Linked DNA regions of Daphnia pulex. The protein of the gene in region 2 purifies or fractionates together with the protein of the main gene of each other region. This does not show direct contact. Links are inferred from orthologs where the notes say so. Each region holds a gene or a part of one and is shown on either strand. Other genes may lie near its edges.

Region 1 (3,022 bases), on a different chromosome or scaffold from region 2:
AATGTGCGGCCAATTCCCCTTTTTCCACATTTCAAGGTGCTACGTTTGCGGTTTGTATGAACTGGAACTCCGACCAATGGTCTTCTGTTGTAAAACGGAAACAGAAAACAGTCGCCAAACGAAGACAATGGCAATTTAGTGTGCGGCTAAAATCAACAAATGAACCGTAATAACAGCTGGTGCAGACATCCGCAAAGACAAGCTGGCCCATCAGGACATTGTGTGGATATGTTCTTGTCAACTAAAACAAGTTTCTCAAAACGAAAAAAAAAATTGCCATTCATACCGTCCGGCTCGTTTCGTTCTCATGATCATCGAATCGTGAAACAGGCAATAACACGATCACCACGTCCGCTCATCTTTCCACAACATCTGCAAAATTCCTTGCGGATGATTAAACACTCTCAGGAAAAAATTTTCATATACTAATAAAATACCTAGTAAACTTATCCCCAATTGAATTCATGCAAATAATCATTTTTTTCTTTCTTTTTATCAGACCGTGTTTCACCTAAATGTATTATTCCATGAATATATAATATATATACACACTGGGAGTGTGCTGGCAATTTACCTTGGTGCGCAAAAAGAGGGGGACAGATTTTCTTATTTAAAACAAAAAGAGTTTTTTTTTCTTCATTCAATTCTAATTCTTTGTGTATCACAAGTTGGAAACAACATGGACTCGTGGGGTTTTCACTTTTTCAGAAGACGTTCCATATCTTTATTTTGACGCTGGATTCTCCAGTCAGCCTTGTCGGCACCAGTCTGCAACCGATCGATCAACGTGTTCTGATCTTCCAGTTCAGTCGACAATCCCTGGGCGAGACCTTTCAGACGGGACAGGGACAAACTCATGTCACCCAGATCTTGCTCTAGCTGCTCGTCGACATTGGAAAGAGGTTTGTGACTAAAATCATTTTCAAGTCCTTTAATCCTCAATGCTGGGTGCTGTTGCTGTGATGGTGAGTCTCGGTCAATCGGTGATGATGTTTGCTCAAGTACCTTGGAAAGATTGCTACTACTACTACTGGAACTAGGCTTTAACAAAGACCCTTCAGAAGAGTTTTTGAGTGGCTCTGAAGGCTTAGAAAAGTAGTTCTTCATACTGCTAAACACACTCTAAAAATCAATGAAATCTGTGTTAAGGAAAAAACAACCAACCAATGCTATAAAATATAGATAGACTACCTTGATATTCTGTATGTGTCTCTCTGAAGTCCTCAATGAATTATTCATTTCATCCAGTCGGCTCCCAGTTCTCTCTAACTGTTCCCTCTGCCTTACCAAGTCCTGGTTGGGTATTTTCAAGGGGAAAATGAATCAAGTTTTAAGTGGTTTTCTAATGTAAGCTTATGTGCAAACCTCAGCGGTGGAGATTCCAATCTGCTCAGTCTCATACAACATTCCTTTAGCTCGCCCTGAAGCCTGCAAAGTACGTTCTTCTATTTTCTGTTTCTCCATAAGAAGTTGTCGTCTACGTTCATCGGCGCTCTGATTTTCTCCTCCGTCCAGAGGTTGGAAACTGTTATTTCCGCCCGACAAACTATTGGCTAATTTTCCTCCAAAGTTATTGAACCTATTGGGTGCCCTTTGTAGAAATTCTTCGTCGTCCACGTCGTCTTCATCGTCAAAAAATGGATTTGAACCTTTAGACTTGACGTAACGCCCACTGGATCCAGCCATAGTTTTTTCGACACTAATACACTTTTCCTTGTATGTATTATTTGTTGCTCACTCACTTTCGCATGCCCTCCGAAGCTGTCAAGGCCTTTAAAGAGACTGCCGAGAGTCGTAACCAAGGTTTGATGTCTTCCCTCTAGCGACGACAAAAGTAATGATTTAATAAAATTGTAAGTAACATAAATCAAATCAATTAAAACATATTATTATTTTTAAGTTCATTTAAAAATTTCAAAAAATAATTCTCTATTATTATTCATTCATATGAATCAGTAATATTTAATAAAATTAGCTAATTTAAGGAATGTTGCGAGGCTTCACCAGGCTGAGGGAACAGCCCACCTCTTTCTCGTCATAGCAGCCCTTCTTACTTACTTCACTTGTTTTCCCGTGATCAAAATATCTACGTGTGAAGTCACGCAACTGTCCTTAGAACGTGTCAGTATCATGAGTGCCTTATTTCCTGATAAAATAATTGCGAAATATTTGAAATAATCAATGGCCACTCGTCACGAGCCATTATCACTTCAAGTGATAACATCTCCGTTCCTTCGCAACGTCGAAACAGCCCATGATGGCAGTGCAACAACTGTGGAAAGACGTACATTTCGAAAAAGTCTTGAAAGACTTGAACGAATCAATATGATTGATTTAGAACCCTTTAGTTCTGAATCAGTCTACCGTCAGCCTTCATGTGAACAGGGTCCTAGTGGAGATAGGAAGCTAGCAAAACGACAAAACAGGCTCAGCAGAGAGATCCTTGGAGTTGATGATGCAGTGTTATCAGCTCCTGACATTGCCCAGTTCCAATCTCAGGAAAGACAGCTTCTTACAAAGAACCAATCAATGAATGGTTCCCTTAATCAAACCGATGTTGATGATGATGTCAGCAGTGTTATTTATGGTGGATCAATAGCATCAACAGTCCCCGACAGATATGGTTTCTTTGGAGGATCTCAGTTCAGTCATGACACTGAAATGTAAGTTTTATTTGTTTCCCTTGAATCCCCTATTAGTTTAACACTATTGTATTTGCTTATTTTGAATTCAATTTAGAAACCCAGCAATGATTGCCATTTTTCGCAAAAGAGAGCTGAAGTGGTTAAACATGTTAGATGATTGGGAAAAGTATATGACATACAAATACAAAAAGGTTTGGCAATATCTTTTATTTTTCTTGTCTTTCATGTTTCTATTAACACCCAATTATTTGTAATCAACAGGTAAGAGACAGGTGTAGGAAAGGAATACCCAGTTCTATCCGTCCCAGAGCGTGGCAATATTTGTGCGGCGGTGGTGTTCTAATGGAAAAGAATAAAGGCGTGTTCGACGATCTACT
Region 2 (4,094 bases):
TAGACGTATAAAGATATTTGAAACGAGTAAACTAGAAAGTTTTATAAAATACCGAACGATACAGGAACAGACGATCGCTCAGGAATGTAAAAACCTGTGCCAAAAAAGGAAATCAAAAATAAAACCACTCCTTGTAACACACACACGTATAAATTTGCACCTTGAAACATTCTCCCTCGTCCCATCCGGCGATGAATGATTGCAACACAGCGCCAACGAAAGGGAGTGTATCGATTGAGTTGGCAGATTCTTTCTTTTCCACCAAACGTTGGACCTGCAAGTGGAGTCAACTTTTTGAAATAGGCAATCTAAAGCAACGTGAGAGAGTTTTTGTGTAACCGTTTCAATGTGGTGGTAGAAGAATTTGAGTCTGGAATCAACGGTGAAGAGGAAACTGGTGCGTTTCAATAGTTGACCAACGTGGAAACTCTGTCGATTCAGAACAACGTTAAATGTGAGGCACAAATTGATTCATGTTATTTCATTTAGGTGATAATTACGTGACGAAAAATGTGATGATTCGAGGTAGTCAATAGGCGAGCGACTCTTTGTGCGAAATCCTCTCCCATGATGTAGATGTAAATGACTTTTCCCATGGCCTTGGAGGAGATTGCCATTTGACTCAATTCATCCACTGAATAGCCAACGTATTTACAGAGTTAATCAATACAATTGCCACACTAATAAAAAGGGATATAGTTACGTGTAAGACAACGAAAAATGTAGAACATGAGGTCTTCTGTGAGTTTGCCGAACAGGGAATCTTTCAAGTCCGGAGCCAGATGTTGGTCAATCGACATTTCCATAACTTTTCTTTTCTTGTGGCCGAATTTAGACATTATGGACTCTAAGGTATGTTTAAAGCCTCTAGTCGAGGTTGATTGCTTCTTGTCGGTCATTTTCTTTAGATTAATTGTGTTGGTGCACTCGGGAGTAAAATTGGTAGGCCCACCACATCGAGCCGAGGAAAGACTAATGAGTTTTCGTTTTCGATAATCCCTTCCCCTAACCCTAAAATTCGCGCCCAAAAATCTGCACACGTGATCGACGTTGTTGCCAGTTCTTGTATTTATTTAATCATTCTTTTTTTTTAAATAAATATCAACTTATCAAGTATTCATTCTTTTTTAAATAAATACCACGTGGAGCCTTATTTTCCTGTTGAAAACAAAGTGCAGACTATAAATTGGATTATTTAGACTCGTTCTTTTTTCCTAAAACACAGATGGCTCTGCAAGAAGTAGGCGGGGTTTTCCAACCTCCAGAAAACGAGGTATCTAATTTTCCATCATTTAGTCAAAGTGTCTAGCCCTGACTCCATCAGACCACCGTGAAATTATTATTTTAATCCAGATGAAAGCATCCGCTTTTAATGTACGACCTTTTTCAAAAAGATGAGTTGCTAAGCTGAATGCAGTCAGATTCTTTAAACGGCTTTTTATCAGTTGGCAGTCCCCGTCCCCACACAGTCACACACACATCATCGTGCACGGTCTGAACGTTGCAAACTAGTCCAATATTTTATGAACATGCTCTGTATCATTTTCTGTAGGAGCTGAAATCTTCGTGTGTGCACAGGGTAACTATACAAGATCCCGTGTAGACCTTGTAGAAAGGACCGCCTGCTGCGACAGACCAGTCACGATCCGCATGGTATTTATTATTTGCAAGCAGCCCACGCAATTTTCTTGCAAATCTTTGACTGAAAAATGTCCTTTTCATGAATTTTTGGCTGGGGGGAGTGCCGAATGCATCATTTTGTCGATAAGCACTTGTGCACACACTCAGAGTTGCAGAGTCTAGGGAGTTTAGATTATCGCTGGTCGTGAGTCATATTCGATGACGTGCTGCTTATTATTACAAACCATGAAGAGATAACAAAACACAAGAAGGGCATTCACAAAAAACAACTTCGTTCGATCAAAGAATTCGGCTGGGTGGAGAAATGATACATGAAATAGACGTCGGATGTTGGCAGGCGGAAATGTATGGATATGGTTGTTGGTTGGAAGCGATCAAGAGGAAAACGGCGGTCGGCGATAGAATTAAATTTTGGTGTGACCTTTACTGTGTGTCTTGTAACGATTACGTATGCAAAATGCAGACAGGAAAAATATGACTTGGATTTTTTTGTTGCATCACGTTTCCACCAACGTTTCTTTGTCACCATTTTGTTTCCGCTGCCACGTTCCAGAACCAACAAATCAAGCCAAACCCGTTACTTGAATTCCATTCAAATTGTTGTGTGGTACATCATTGATATATATTTGTACGTGTCATGTCGTATCATTGCTCATAGGAACCTGGGGGAGTTCGTTCGGTACGATTAGAAATGGAATCGCTCTTCCATGTCACATACGTTTTTCTTTCATAATAAATCTATATATCTGTACTTGGGCAAAACCCCTCTGCATTATGAATGAATATTTGAGAAGTTTTCTTTTTTTAATGGATTGAATTCGATGTAGAGAAGGATGAATGATAAAATCAATTCGGTTTTGTTGGGGGATTTGTAGGTGGATTTCTGTCGAGTTGGCAACGTTGCGACAGTGCGGCCATATTGGTGGTTTTGACAGAAGAGAAGGGAAAGCTGACTATCCGAGTCGCCCACTGCCCTGTCGACGGCCGTGTCGGTTTCTCCTGTGACGCCCGGCACAAGACCCCCGAAATTTTTTTTTATCGGGAATCGAAAAAGACACAATTCATTCAGCAATAATTATCTGTCGTGCTAATTTTGTGTCCGTGTCTTGGTTTGCAGAAGGAAGAAAGAGCTGTTCTCGTGTCCTTTTTCCTCGTTGAAATTGTGTGTGTGTGTGTGCCCAGTTTGTCTGTCTTTGCCATCCGAAGGGAGTATTGATTTTCGGTGTATGTGTGTCTGAGAGTGTGAGAGCCCAGTGCGTGTGTGTAGCCGACGCCGTCTACCACTAACTATTTGGTGCTTTTTTGGGTGCAATTCTCTCTTTGAAGCTGTCGGTGGGATTGTAGGCCAACCCTCAAAATGACCAAGGACAGATTAGCAGCCCTCAAAGCTGTGAGTATACGTAACCATGTTCTCTTTGTTGTGCACAGCTCTTGTCGCTTGAAATTAATGCCTCGTAGTGCAACACTCATTTACTCCTCTTTTTGCATTCCTGCCGATTCAGGCACAAAGCGAGGATGACGACACAGGGCCAGATGATGTGGCCGTTACTGTTGAGGCCCAGGATGGATACATGGAGGCCTTCTTTGCAGAGGTAACTACCCTTCCGTTGACTTGTTTATTTAATCCCATTACATCTTTCAGCAGTTGGCCATAGCGTAATCATGGTCCGAGCATTTGCATAGACAAGACTCGAAAGAGATGAGGGACATGCACCTGAATAGATAGCACAAGAGTGTTCAGGTTGGAACGTGGAGCAATTTGGCTGATGGTGTTCTTTTCCGATGAGAGAGAGAGAGATAGCAGAGGGTGGAATTCATTAGCCATAATTGTGTTTGCGATTGGCTCTCATTCATGTTGGTAGTCTGCTTTTGATAGCGTGGCCAATAGTAGCGTAATGACAAGAGGCGCGGTAGCATCAGGAGCCCCTGATGAATTGCAGGGGGAATTGCATCAGCAGAACGCTGTAGAAGAGAGAGAGAAGCACTAGGCTTCTAGTCTTGAGCATTAAAATCTTGTTTCTTTCTTTCTCTCGTTGTTTGTTTCAAAGTAAAACTATATCCACCCCATCAGAGTGAGGCTTCCTTTCATCTACGACTGCGCAATCCCCTCTCGAGCTAAGAAATAGTCCATCACTTAAAGAATCTCGTGAACGAGGGGGGGAAAAAGTTTGCTAAGTTGTAATGATGAACGGCACACACACAGGGACACAACCACCATTGAGAAGGAAGGGCTTTGTTTGTTGGTTGACTGGCATGAAGACATGGTAGAGTAGCCTAGGCGTGCGGTAATCGAACGGAAGATGCGGCCGGGCGTGAAAAGCTGCTGGACATGTGATGGACGATTGGAATCGCTTTTCTATTTGTGTGGAAAATGAAAGAAAAATGTCAGAGGAGGTCAGCGATCTTTTTTGCGTGAGAGATGGATTCGATTTCATATGTGTGTGCTCTCATTT
Region 3 (4,194 bases), on a different chromosome or scaffold from region 2:
TTCTGACGTGCTTGCCCATGCGCATCTTTCGTCTCGCGCCGTTATCGTCGCTACACCGGCGCCTTTGATGATCGGCACAAGGTTATTCCGGCCGTCCGGCCGAGTCACAACAAGACCAAGAAGAAGAAGAAGAAGAAGAAAGAAGAAGGTGTTCTAAAAATGGAAAAGGGGCAGCAACCTGGCAAATGACGCTAAGAGGCGGGTTTTCGACACACAAACTCGTCCACAGCTGCATGTTTCTCTATCTGTTCGGCATCTTTTCTGCAGCGAATGGGCACAGCTGATGATTAGCACGACGCTAAATATGTCTCTCTGTAACTGCCCCCCTATCCAGTTGCCTCGGTGGCGTTTATCCATCTCTCTTTCAGTTCCGTGCTCAAGTATCCGCTGAAAGCATTGAAAGCCTTTCTCGGACCTTTTGAATAAAAAACGCCTAACACGGACTGATGGATTGTCTGTCACCTTATGACACCAACCGACGTGTAAGTAGAGACTATGTGACACATCGACTTGAATCTCGCTATTGCGCACGAAGAATGTCCTGCCATTTCTTACTCTGTATCAAACTATGATATTTATTGTTGTATTCGTTTTTTTGGGTGAGGAGCGGGTCGTATACATGATATATTCACCTCTACGGTAACATCTTCGATATCTTGTTGGAGTTGATTGGCAAACTGGCGAACTGGAGGGTTGGCCGGTGGGTTCTTGCCCGAGTTGGGTCCAGTAGCAGCCGCCGTCGAAGAGCCTTTACTCTTGTTACCTGGCGCCGTTTCGATCCCCATGATTGCACAATGGTTGGACGTGAACACAACGCAATAAACAGCAGCAGCAGCAGCACACACACACACACACACACGCTCAAGTTCTCCGACGACGATACGATTATCTCGTCTCTTTGCCTCCCAATAGCTTTGGCGACGGCTTACTTGTTTGTTTCTCCCCACCACGATAGAATGTCGGCGGTTGGGTTACCTCCTGGAGTTCAAGTAGTTGGTTGTTGGTTGTATCTATTTCAGTGAACGAGTTGCATGGTGGAAGGTGCATGACGGCAGTCAGCTAACATACCGATACCAGTGACGTAGTCGGCGGAGTCATCGTTTCCCATGGTAACGCGATCCATACCTACGGGCGGCGGCGACGACAGGCACCTCTAGACGACCATTTGTAAAAAGGCCTGGGAAATTGGTAGTCACACGGGATTTCCGATCTTTGCCTTTGGCGTCGATTTGGCACAAATCGTCGTCAGTTGTGCATTCCGATTGGGGAAATTCAGACTTAAGGCTCCGCCACTTCTCGACACTCCTCACGAGCTTGCTATCTTTCTCTTACTTTCGGAAAATCTTCCTTTTCCTGTCGGACGACGGAGAAGAAAACGCCGAGCCGCGCAACGAACGGATATGAAAAAGAGAGAGAGAAAGAAAGAAAAAAGTACTGGGAATCGAAATAAGGGCAGGAAACGTCCGTTGTAGTGAAACGGTGACGTCCGGCACGCGACCAAACTATCAACTTGGGGAAAATGTCGGAGCACTCGTGCAGTCCAGTTTGACTTGTAGTTTCTTATTCGGCGCGGAGGATAGCCATCATAAATATCGACAGACGAGTGCGACACGCACAGATAGGACGGCGGTCGGGACTCTCTCTCTCTCTCTCTCTCCGATGATCGAGAGATAAAAGAAGCGCACACGTCAGATGAATGTTGGAAGAAAGAAACGAAAGAAAGGCCAAGGAACGGGCACTTGGGCGACGCTAATTACATCAACAAAACCACTGGAGAAAGGGGGGGGGGGAGAGTTGGAAGTAACGTCAGCCAACGCGCGCAATCCCTGTGGGCAGATTTGACGAACTCCAGGGTTATCCGACTTCCAGGTAGTTCGGCGTTTCTCCACTTCCACAATGCTTTCACCAGTTCAAATAGACTGAAAAAGGCACGACAACGATCTCTTCCGGCAAACAAACAACCACTCAAGAAATGCAATAGGATATGATGAGAGTAAATGATGTGCAATTGGAAGATTCGATTTCAAATGTTCGGATGAGGGTGTGCGACGCCGTTACGTCGTCTATTGGCTCTCGGCTGGAATTAGAAGCCAACCGGGACGATGGAGTTTCACGATTGATCTAGGTGCTGGTGGTGGATTTGTCGGAAGCTCCGGTTGCTGCCCTTGGGAAGGAGGTCCGACGGCAAAAAAGGACCGGTTACAATCACCCCAAAAAAGGAGACGGGAAGAAATGGAGAGATGTGGAGATTGGTCGAGCACAGCCACCAGCGATCGTTCAACAGCGTCGCCGAAAATAAGTTGCCACCTGATCGAAGACTGAGACGCAGCAGAAAGAGACTAATGAAGAAGACATTGGGGCCGTTGTTGACTGTGGGTGTAGAGGAGGAGAAGAAGAAGAAGAAGTGACAGAGCACGTACGTCACGGTCGTCGAAAAAATACGTGACAATCGAGCGAGTCCGTCAATGAGCGAGTTTACAAGGAGAGGGGGAGAGCAACTTTTCTCGCCACTTTCACTTTCTGTTTTGCTTACTGTTTTTCACGATCGATACGTTGACACAGACAGCGTTGAAAACAAACAAAAAGAGGGTCAGACGTTACTCGGCTGGATGGCGGGCAATCGAAATCTCGGGTCGTCGGCGGTTCCAAGGAAAAAACGCAGGTGTCACGACACAAATTTCGGCTTTACAGATGAGACAACTGGGAGGTCGAGACGGAGACTCGGGTGAGAAAAACGAAACAGCACCGCTTTTGGTCAGCTCAGAGTGCTTTCTGCCAGTGGGGAGTGGGGGAGAAAAAAAAAAGAAAAACCCGGGATGAGCGGATCGATCGGGACGGCGGAAACAGGCTGCTCTGTAACGGCGCACCTGTCCGATGACACCGCTAGTCCGTTTCCGTCGCCCTTTGCAGACGAATAATTCGCACACACGCCAAAAGTGTTCCGCTCCGTGTGACTTTCTCTTCCTTCAAATTGTTCTCGACGAGGCTCTTCCTCTCCGGCCGGCTGGGCGAGTGCGGGCGGGAATGAGGTCCGGGCTAAACTAATTGACGCGATTGTGAAGATGCTGAATGAAAGATGCCGGAAATGCGGTCCCGTCTCCCGGAAGCGGACCAACAGCAACTCGCAACGGCTCGGTCGATCTGTCGAGATGCAATGGAAAACGCAGAGCTGAGCAGAGCTGAGCAGAGCTGAGCAGAGCTGGGTGTTCGTCAAGTAAAGCGGCGCGGTTGCATCAAGTTGAGCCCGTTCACGCGCACAACAATGACGTGAGGACCAAGTAGAAGCGGTAAGCGACTGGGAGGCGAAAACGGCCCGCTCGGGCAGGCACAAGACTTTGATGATCAAAAACGCTGGGGCAGCGCCGCACACAAAGCGCCCGCGCGCATCCGGTTTGACGCAGTTATCGAATTTCGAACTACGGTCTCGTGCGCTCAGTCTGTTAGATTCTCAAACATCCCCAAGTACCAACAACGAATTAGTTCCACCTTTACGCAGCAGCAGCGACATTTCCACATTGGCTGGCCCAGTTTTATGAATACCAAAATAAAAAAAATAAAAAAAGGGCATTTCGCAACATTTTTCGCCCTGCCTTCAGACATCAAAACATACAGCCCATCAAACTAGACTCCATTCTTGGCTTGACTCACTCCAATAAATGGATTTGATTTGCTGACATTGGCAATATATATACCGTTACGGCCAGCCTTTATTCAGTACTTTTCCGTCAATATTTGCGAGTTAACCTATTCCAGCAGCAACTGGGCATGGCGTTGACTTGTCGACATCAACAGACCTGACATATCAGGCACACACTCGCCTCTCGGATGTCGGAGACACGAGTGCTATCCGATGTCAAACGGCAATCGTTAAGAACTAGACGTACGAAAACTTGGCTGGCTGAAAGTGAAACGATCGTCTGCCCTCATCTAGAGAATGGAGTTGACAGGCTTACCTCATCGGTGACTTGGTTTGATTTCATCTGCAATTCCTGCAATTCCGTCTTGGGAGCACCACCATTTTCCACTGCGGCCGCCATCTTCGCTTCCTTTTTGAGTTAGTCACCTGTAACGAGAAGCGAGAAATTCGTACGTTAAATAGTAGAATAATAAGAGATGACGTAAAACGGGAATTCGACTATAGTTATGATGCTCTCAACATAATCACTGCGACACTGAGACACACTTCAACTCTGT

What was found. The genes of interacting proteins can lie anywhere in the genome.
Region 1: the proteins of syntaxin-like (region 2) and synaptosomal-associated protein 29-like purify together in Drosophila melanogaster (affinity purification with mass spectrometry; 3 studies listed by BioGRID, with this or other methods). This does not show direct contact. The link is inferred for Daphnia pulex from reciprocal best matches to the Drosophila melanogaster genes Syx1A and Snap29.
Region 3: the proteins of syntaxin-like (region 2) and synaptosomal-associated protein 25-like purify together in Drosophila melanogaster (affinity purification with western blotting; 4 studies listed by BioGRID, with this or other methods). This does not show direct contact. The link is inferred for Daphnia pulex from reciprocal best matches to the Drosophila melanogaster genes Syx1A and Snap25.

Annotation. Positions count from the first base shown.
Region 1 is NC_060025.1:1,294,250-1,297,271, reverse strand, and holds synaptosomal-associated protein 29-like, read right to left. Parts: upstream 1,806-3,022; 5' UTR 1,687-1,805; coding exon 1,366-1,686; exon of another isoform or gene 1,294-1,365; coding exon 1,192-1,293; exon of another isoform or gene 1,123-1,191; coding exon 697-1,122; 3' UTR 501-696; downstream 1-500. Other genes in the region: TBC1 domain family member 10A-like, read left to right, coding at 2,182-2,663, 2,740-2,836, 2,907-3,022.
Region 2 is NC_060028.1:8,243,177-8,247,270, reverse strand, and holds the start of syntaxin-like, read left to right. Parts: upstream 1-1,294; 5' UTR 1,295-1,492; intron 1,493-1,552; 5' UTR 1,553-1,653; intron 1,654-2,516; 5' UTR 2,517-2,998; coding exon 2,999-3,031; intron 3,032-3,143; coding exon 3,144-3,233; intron 3,234-4,094. Other genes in the region: F-box only protein 47-like, read right to left, coding at 53-94, 161-274, 340-429, 501-634, 704-899.
Region 3 is NC_060020.1:8,651,190-8,655,383, reverse strand, and holds the start of synaptosomal-associated protein 25-like, read right to left. Parts: upstream 2,801-4,194; 5' UTR 786-2,800; coding exon 633-785; intron 1-632. UniProt on the Drosophila melanogaster protein: May play an important role in the synaptic function of specific neuronal systems. Associates with proteins involved in vesicle docking and membrane fusion.